Linked DNA regions of Oryzias latipes. The protein of the gene in region 1 purifies or fractionates together with the protein of each later gene. This does not show direct contact. Links are inferred from orthologs where the notes say so. Each region holds a gene or a part of one and is shown on either strand. Other genes may lie near its edges.

Region 1 (4,385 bases):
TTTCTACGTTTGTAACACGACCTAAGGATGCACCTTGAAATGACTCACTTATCAGTATTTCTTCTTTTTGAAAAAAAGAACCCATTGATTCACCTGAAAAAAGAAACTGCTTAAAGATAGAATGATACATCTTTTTGTGACAGTAAACTCTGTTTAAACCTTCAAAACATTCATGATTCAACACCTCTTCTTAATAACTGTCAGTCTAAGAGGCACATTTTTCAAAAAGGGGTGACAAAAGGTTTTTGATGTTTCCATCAGTGTGATGAATTAGCCTAATCCTGTGTCAGTGAACAATCTCAGTGTAATTCACCTTGATGAGTTTAAAAGTTAGCTTTCATCTTTTATCACAACACACCATGAAGCCTTAATTTTGGTTAATTGGAGAACGTCAATTCGGAAAGAATCTATTTAAACATCTATTTTAAAAAATGCAACACTTATTTACATGTTTTTTTACCCAGAGTTCCAAAAAATATGAAATAATTATTTCTAATTTGGATAAGGCTTAAAAGAGCTTTACACAATGAACTCCATTTAACCTGTAAGTAAATCTTTTTTTTTTTGCCCTCTTTTTGGATGGACAGGGGGGTGCACTCCCCCCTTCGATGCGCCTTTGTGAACTCACCAACATCAAAGTGGAATTCCATTTTATTCAATTCACACAGACAGTGGGGCTTTAACCATGATGATTTTCAGATTATTGGGTGCCGATTGCTGTTTGTACTAAACTACAACAGTCTCCCAAAGATTTACATGGACTTGTTGTCAGAACAGAGCATTAGTTGAGACCTCTATCAGTCTGCGTTTATTTGAACAGAGCAGTTGGTAAAAACCAGACTACAAGAAGGCAGCATGACGGCCAATGAGCGCCTAAGGCTTGGAAAAGGATCATTCGTGTCTTGTGTCTTGTTGTCATCGTTGTTATCCATCTCTGAATGTTCCTCTCCATCTTGCTGTTCTTCGTTGCTCCTTTCCTCCTCTTCTGCCGGTGGACTCTGCCGAGGCTGGAAGACAACATCTTCAAACTGGAGCTGGCGGAGTCCGCGGAGCATCCTGCAGCTGCGCACGATCTGCAGCTCACCGAGCGTGCAGGCCCACAAGCACAGGCGCTTCAAATCTTTCAAGCGGCTGGCACAGAGCAAACCCGGCCCTACCTCTTTACCACCGAGACTCAGCTCCTCTAATCCAAGCCATCCCGCGCCCAGCCCAAGGGAGGCCATCTGCAACTGGTAGCCTTGCCTTGCTGTAATACCTAACTCCAAAAACTTGAGCTTGGACAGGCCCTCCATACCTGAAAGGCCATCTTTTGCTGCACAGCTTCTAAGCCCATTTGCTGTTATACGAAATGTGTCGCGAAGTTCTAAACGACAAAGCCTCTCCCATGATGTCAGACTCTGCAGGTGCTGATCTGTGAAAGAGGGCACATTGTTAAGAACTAGACTCTCAATACTAATGCCTAAAGGCGAGGCCTGCCCTTTGACTTTTGGATTTTTTCCTTGCTGTGAACCACCAGCGCTGGAAGTAGCCACTGCTCTGTCCTGAGGAAAAGCAGGTGAGGAACTCTTGGCCTGACAAAAAAAGCCCTGAGGGAGCTCACAACCACGGAGCTCCAGCACACGTAGAGAAGGAGGCAAGAGGTGGCAGTTGGGTAAGGTTCTCAAGTCTGCATGTAGAAGGCATAGCTTACTCAAGCGAGGGCATTTAGTGGACAAAGCTTTGAGCCAGGACTCTGAGAGAAAGGTTCCACCCCGGGCAGAAAGCAGCAAGCCACGCAGGCGAAGGCACCTCAGTCCACAACCAAAGTACTGACGCAGCAAGACCCAAAGGATGCGAGATGTCACCTGATGTAAGAAAAAAGAAGAGACCATGTGACAATAACGAGGAGAAAACTGATTAAATAAATAATGAGATATAAGCTCAAACACATGCACATCAGAAACCTAAAAGGAGGCCTATTTTTTTTTTGGGACTTACTTTCCTAACAAAGGACAATTAACAACATTTTAAATAACGTGTCCAATTATAGTAGAAATAATAATACAAGAAAAAAAGTGCACCTTTGTCACTGTTTTTAGTGAAGGTTTAAAAAAATTGGACATAAACTAACAAAAGAAAGCCTTAGCACGGTTGTTTCAAACATCACATATTTTTTATCCATGTTTATTACTGTGTCCATTCGATTACAGAAGAATTAATATTAATACTTAATATTCAGGAACTGAAACCACAGTCCTACCCCTTTCCAAGCAGTCAGATCTACTGTTCTCCACAGTCTTTGGTCTTTAACCAGCCGTTTCCATCTCTTACAAACCCTGGAGAAAATGTGGAAACCATTAGAAACTCGCCAGACAGAAGTCTCAACAACAACAACAAAGGGAGATCATCCAGCTGGCTCTGTCTGTCTGTGCATGCTGCTGCATTGTATAGAAAGAACAGGGAACCAAAAATCCAACACATTCAGCAGGGCCACATTTTCATACCTTCCAGCTCGAACAAGCTCTCTGACGCTCAAAAACGACAACACGTCTATCAAGATGTTTTCGGGGAAGTAATCCAAATCGCAGCCTTTGAATTCATCCATTCTGTAAACAAAACCTTCCACACGGACTAATTTCCGGATGCACACGGGTTGCGCTCTAATCAGTAATCCCCAGGAAACAGCTTCTGGTTAGCAACAGTTCAGTTCATTTAACAGTTCAAAGCAACGGGCCTGGGTTTCTCTGAACATACTCAGTCTACGTCTAAGTAGTTATTTAAATTTTAAAAATGTTTATGACATCAGCTCTGCCGCGCGCCTTATTGATAAATGTTCAGAAAATATGTGATGTTGCCACCTATCGTTCGCTAGGTCAACAGTCCACTGCGCACGCGCAGTCTACCGGACAAGATGGCGACCAGCAATGGTGGAGGAATGGAGGTAGACGGGGCAGGCAAGTGTTTGTCTTAAATCAGACCGTTGGAGCCCGACGTTAACATGTACGCGCGCACCAAGGGCCCCGCGTGTTTTGTGTCTCTGCTGGTTTGTGAGCCGGAAAGATTTGGCGGCGCTAAAGCTTCTGGCTACAAAAGCTTTGCTAACATGATAAGCAGGTTAACGGTCAGTCAGTGATGAATCATTCTGGATTTACTGTCGCTTTCTCTGATCTAACTCAGTAATGCGCAGCTGAGTTTATAAATACAGTCACTTAACAATGTACCCATCCTTAAAATGCTATATAATCTAAATCCAGATTAACCGAGCGCTGTTTAAAGAAGGAAAACAACTTGATAGTTTCCCAAATGCTACTGTATTCATTCATCTAGAGTAGGGGGCTGAGACCTTTAACGGGAAACGAGCCACTTGGTCCAGATTCTTACAGATCAAAACCCAACGAGAGCCACAAAGTCTGGCCTAAACATTTAGAAAAATACACTTTTTGTTTGTTTACTTCAGTGGCTTTTTATTCATTATTGTAACAGGTAGCTTTCTTTTACATGTCGACAATAATAGAATCACAAAGGTGTTATATTTTACTAAAAAAGAGCAAGTTTAACTTCTTTACTTCAGACAGCAGCACATACACGTTCCTTTCAAAATAAAATGCACCCTAAGTCAAAAGATCCTCCTGCTTCAACAGATTTAATTTTAGGTGAGCATTCATCCTTTTACTATCAACATAAAGATGTGTGCATTGGTTTAAAATCCAAATAAAAATAAAAATCTATACATGTAAATGCAATTATATATTTTAAGAACTTTGACTCAAAGCAACAACTTGACAGTAGACTATAAGAATATTTGCTTAGTTAAACTAATTAAGTATTTGTTCAATTTTTTTGAATGTCTTTATAGCCGCATGTGGCTCTGGAGCCTCAGGTTGCAGACCCCTGCAACCTCAGATACATCAGACCGAAGCCATTTTATTCAGTCTGTGACATCTACAGGATGAAAAAGTGCTCAACCTGCTTAAGATGAGCATCTTTGTGTAAAATAAAACATGAGCAGCTGCTGATGTGTTGGACATTGTCATACATCCGATGAATTTTTTCCTTTATCAATTGATTAACTACAAAAATGACAGATAAAACTAAAAGGTAAACAGCTTAGGTTTAAAGATCAATCTTCAGGCCTGTATGAATATGTTTAGGCAGGTGTTATCCTCTCTTGAATTGTTTTAGGATTATTTTTTATTTGTAAATGTCTCATCAACACGACAGCCAATTATTTGATATGTCATACTATATCTTATTGTGAAAAATCTACGTTGTGTTCCTTGTGTCTTGTATTTCCTGTTTTGTTGAAGTTGTTGCTGTTTGTGTGTCTGCAGCCACCCCCAGTGTCATGGCCTCGGGGGTCACTGGGAGTGTTTCTGTGGCCTTACACCCTCTGGTCATCCTCAACA
Region 2 (4,331 bases), on another chromosome or scaffold:
CAGATTAGTCCCATACAGTGGAAAAGCAACTTAAACTAATTTAGAGTTTAAGAATTATGAAAGTAAAACACTTGATGACTCGTTCTTAATGCAGTCACAACATATTTATCCGGTTTTTGTGAGTAAAAGTAAAAGCTGCATCATTTTGCATCCATTGATAAACATTCATCAAATCCTTTACACTCAAAATCCTGCCGACTATGCGGACAAAGCAGCATCTACACCTGCTGTCAAGCAGCTACCTGGACAGATGAGCGTGTTGGTTCTGATCCAGGCTTTACCTGTAGTTGATGTACAAAGCCCACGTTGGGGTTGATGCAGAACCTCCTCTCTTGGACATGGGTGAATGCATCCCTGCAGACAGTTGCAACCACAGCCACTGAGACATAAATTACAAACTAAAACCTTATTTCCTCCACAGGGTAAAAGGAGTCCTCTTAAAAAAAAAAAGTAATAATAAATAAGCATCTTGTTTGTGCGGTTTTATGTTCATCTGTGGACATCTGATAAAGTAAAGCCATAATGTTTGTTCAAGTACCATTTTGTCCAGACCTCCCAGGAGATTTCAGATTAGAATTCACCAATACGGATTGGAGAATGCATTTCTGACAGAGTTTGGTTTATCAAAGTGTCAGCTGACGGGACTGATACCGTGAACAGAAACCGCTCTGTGTGTTTATTCAAATGCAGCACAGTTACATTCTAACTGATTGTAAATAGAATCAACTGTCGATCCATTAAAGCAGGTTTCTGGTTTGGGTGAGGACCTTCTACAGGGAACTTGAAATACCTTTAACAAACTAGCATCAAACTAACATTAACGAAGATTTTCCCAGCAAATGATTATACTTTAAATAGATGCATCCGCATTTAGAGGTTTTGATTTATTGGATGTTATGGCTAAAGCATACTAGTACTTTGAATCTGCAGAACAGAATATGGCCTTTTGATGAATGAGGTCAAACAAAAGACAAATACACTTACCTGTATTTTATCCCGAATGTTTCCATAAGGTATGCAATCACTAAGGCAGCACTGGAAATAAAGAGAGATAAAACAGGCAAACTGAACAGATTCTTTAAACCGACAGACTTCAAATGCATGTAGCCTTGTTTTAGCTTTAAAAGCAACACTGAAACAAAACACCAAAATCAATTGGATTTCAGGCTGGTTTTTACATTTAATTTGATTACATTTGTCAAATTTCTAATCAAATATAGACATATTTTAGTTTATCCATAACCAGTACTTTAAACTTAACTAAATTGAAACTTTCATGAGTAAAAATTCTTTAGACACCAACAAACAGTTTAAATCGAAATCAAAAACTGATTTAGCATTTTCAAGGAAAGATTGAAAGAGAAGCAACATATTCTGATGGTGGTAAGTTTATGATAAAGCAGTCAACAACAAATCAGCAAGTTGAACACAAAACTTATGAAGGATTGGAGACTTTTGGCACGATAAAAATCACCTGATCTGGTTTTTGCTCACATAAATGATCTGAATAGGTTTGGAGAAAAGTGATTTTGCAAATATCAACCCACTATAACTTTCCTTTGATGAGATAACACAGTTACTGAAAGTGTCACTGAGGTAATGTATCACAATTTAGTCTAGAAGTTGCTTCATCTAATTAAAAAAATGATATATATATATATATTCTAGTTTATATCAAGGTTGAATTGAAAAAGAATGCCGCAGAAAGTCTTACCTTCTTGATATCCCTGCATTACCATGAACAAGTACCTTTCCTAGAGGAGCAAAACCAAACAGTTGACTTAATGTTTAAAATTTACATGAATAGTTCAGACTAAATGATTCCTTACCTTCTGCTGCTAAGCAGCTGTCAATAAATTCTTTAGTCTAAAAAAAAAAAAAAAAAAATTGAACATCATAACAGCAAACTTTTAATGTCAAAACAATCAATAAGAAGAAAATGCGTCTTACCATAGGGAAATAGCGGATTATATTTTCCACTGGATTGTCAGCAATATCCAACACCAAATATCTAATAAAATAGACGCATTTCTATGTTTACCTATGAACTTCTATGACATTTAATTCCTATAAGGACAACGTAATGCAAGCGTGGTTACCTAAATGTGTGAGGGAAATTGGGTTTGATAAAATTGGCTTCGATATCTTGGCGGACACATACAATGTGGGTTATACCATGCGTCTCAAGAATTGGCAGCTGGAGAAACAGAAGCATAAGGTGGGAGATATCCAAATCATTGTTTAAAATAAATAAATAAAACACTTCTGTTTTCATGTTGAAAAACATGCAAAGTAGTGAATACCTTGCTTTTCATTGCAGCAGAGTAAGGCCCTAAAAACAGTCCTGGTAAAATCTCCTACAAAAACACAAAAAAGATGAAATATTTTCTCTTTTTCAATAGATGTTTAAACATATTTTCTATCAGGTGAATTGAACAAAGCTGAATTCTACAACTACAGCGCACACACCTGCATATCTCGTCTCATTGGGTAAGCCCAGTCCTGTAACAGGAAGAACATTTTGAAAAAGAAAAAAAAACCGAAACAAACTCAGCTGTATTTCTGTAAAACTAGGAGCAAACATGTTTAGTTTAGATTACTCTCTGTGCAAAGGTGGCTAATGCTAGCTAGGCTAATAATGCATCGGTCTTCGCTCGACGACACTTTTTTCAAATAACGTCTTTCAACGGCCAAACACTTTTAACATTTTAGAAGTTAATATTATAAATGTACAAAAAATTACAACAAATAAATAGCTAATAGATTTCCCCTTGAAAGAGCGGAGTTAGACAGGAGGAGGCGAAGAGTTACTACTGGCAGGTACTAGCTGACACGTCGTCAGGCGCTGCTCACCAGGTCTTCCTTTGTCGCCGGCAGAGACGGAAACTGGAGTTTGACTTCTCCGTCCATTGCGGTGTCTTCAGCCCGGTTTCACACGCACCCTAACGATAGTCTTCGCTGTTGGGTTAGCTGGAATATCGAAGTAGTTTGTTTTCAGAGTACACATGCATGTCCGCCATGCTTCCCTCTGACATGTGTGTCATGTGACTTTACAACTCGACGGGAAGAAAGCGCCCAGTACGGAAAGCCGAAAGGACCATTTGTTTGTTGTCTTTGCGGTTTCGCGCGTGCTTTTAGGTGGGACATAATTGGCCTCCACAGGGCACTTACCTTTTTCTATTGATTGAAATGTTGATAATTAACACGACCAGTATATTCAAACATGGTATGGTTGTGTTCTTACATCAAATTTAAAAACTCACTTTGCTGAAAGTATAGTTTTTTTTAAAGTCCTATTCCAATTACATTTTTATCTATTGTAAAATCGTATCCAGTGGTCTATTATTATTATTATTATTATTATTATTATTATTATTATTATTATTATTATTATTATTATTATTATTATTATTATTATTATTATTATTATTATTATTATTATTAATAATAATTTATTTATTTTTTAGCAAAAATCAAAATGCAGACATATTTTCTGCAGCGCAGCAATAGCTCATCAGAAATTCAATTCTGGGTTTGTGGGCGGGATTGTTGGCGCAGAAGTACCAGGACGTTGATATTCCAACACTCATTTGTTTACACTCTCTCCCGCAAGCTTATAGATCCTCAAAACGGTGAGCAACATCGTTGCTATCCACAAAGATATAAAAAGGCCCCATTCAGACACAGCCCTCGCAGCAGGAGTGAATCTCACTGTACCAAGAGAATCTCTGAATGATCTCACGAACCCACAAATGAAGACGTTCAATCCCGCCCACGTTGAACCAAGCCACATTCTGCACACAGCAGCCAGAGGTAGTTGCACAAGTCTGGGGCGACAAGCTTTTGAAAACATTTCTGGACAGTTGTGGAGCAGAGAATTTGCCGCGTGGCAAAGGAGAGGCGTTCATTGGAAATTCTAGGTGGAGTTCTTCTCTTGTGTTTACAGTGTGATCCACTGTGTTAACATTCTCTGTAATACTGAATTGGAAAACATGCAATGGACTGCTAAGCATTAGGATTTGCTAAACAAAACAAACGTTTCTATATTTATAAAAAGGTTAGACAATATGCTTTAATTTTGGGTTTAAATTTAAACTTTTAACTAGTCTCTATTGGTCCATTTGTGAGCTTGGGTTACATGCCAAAGTCAACCAGGTTTCCGAAAGATCAGATATTAGAATTGAGAAAAAAATGTTTGGTAGATCTGATGCTGGACAAGCTGGTTCTCACTGTACTACCAACTTGTTCCAGTTCTCTGGATTAACTTCCTGTGACAGCTCTGACATTTGCTTGTACGGAGGTAAACCAAAAACATTTTCCTACCTGAGCAA

The links.
Region 2: the proteins of fbxl12 (region 1) and styx purify together in Homo sapiens (affinity purification with mass spectrometry; 4 studies listed by BioGRID and IntAct, with this or other methods). This does not show direct contact. The link is inferred for Oryzias latipes from reciprocal best matches to the Homo sapiens genes FBXL12 and STYX.

Annotation. Positions count from the first base shown.
Region 1 is NC_019868.2:6,646,245-6,650,629, reverse strand, and holds the start of fbxl12 (F-box/LRR-repeat protein 12), read right to left. Parts: upstream 2,846-4,385; 5' UTR 2,585-2,845; coding exon 2,484-2,584; intron 2,316-2,483; coding exon 2,240-2,315; intron 1,845-2,239; coding exon 798-1,844; 3' UTR 1-797. Other genes in the region: cops6 (COP9 signalosome complex subunit 6), read left to right, coding at 2,891-2,933, 4,311-4,385. UniProt on the Homo sapiens protein: Substrate-recognition component of the SCF (SKP1-CUL1-F-box protein)-type E3 ubiquitin ligase complex.
Region 2 is NC_019861.2:26,241,956-26,246,286, reverse strand, and holds the start of styx (serine/threonine/tyrosine-interacting protein), read right to left. Parts: upstream 3,084-4,331; 5' UTR 2,911-3,083; coding exon 2,854-2,910; intron 2,503-2,853; coding exon 2,470-2,502; intron 2,358-2,469; coding exon 2,304-2,357; intron 2,198-2,303; coding exon 2,100-2,197; intron 2,012-2,099; coding exon 1,951-2,011; intron 1,867-1,950; coding exon 1,830-1,866; intron 1,755-1,829; coding exon 1,715-1,754; intron 1,036-1,714; coding exon 985-1,035; intron 355-984; coding exon 282-354; intron 1-281. UniProt on the Homo sapiens protein: Catalytically inactive phosphatase. Acts as a nuclear anchor for MAPK1/MAPK3 (ERK1/ERK2). Modulates cell-fate decisions and cell migration by spatiotemporal regulation of MAPK1/MAPK3 (ERK1/ERK2).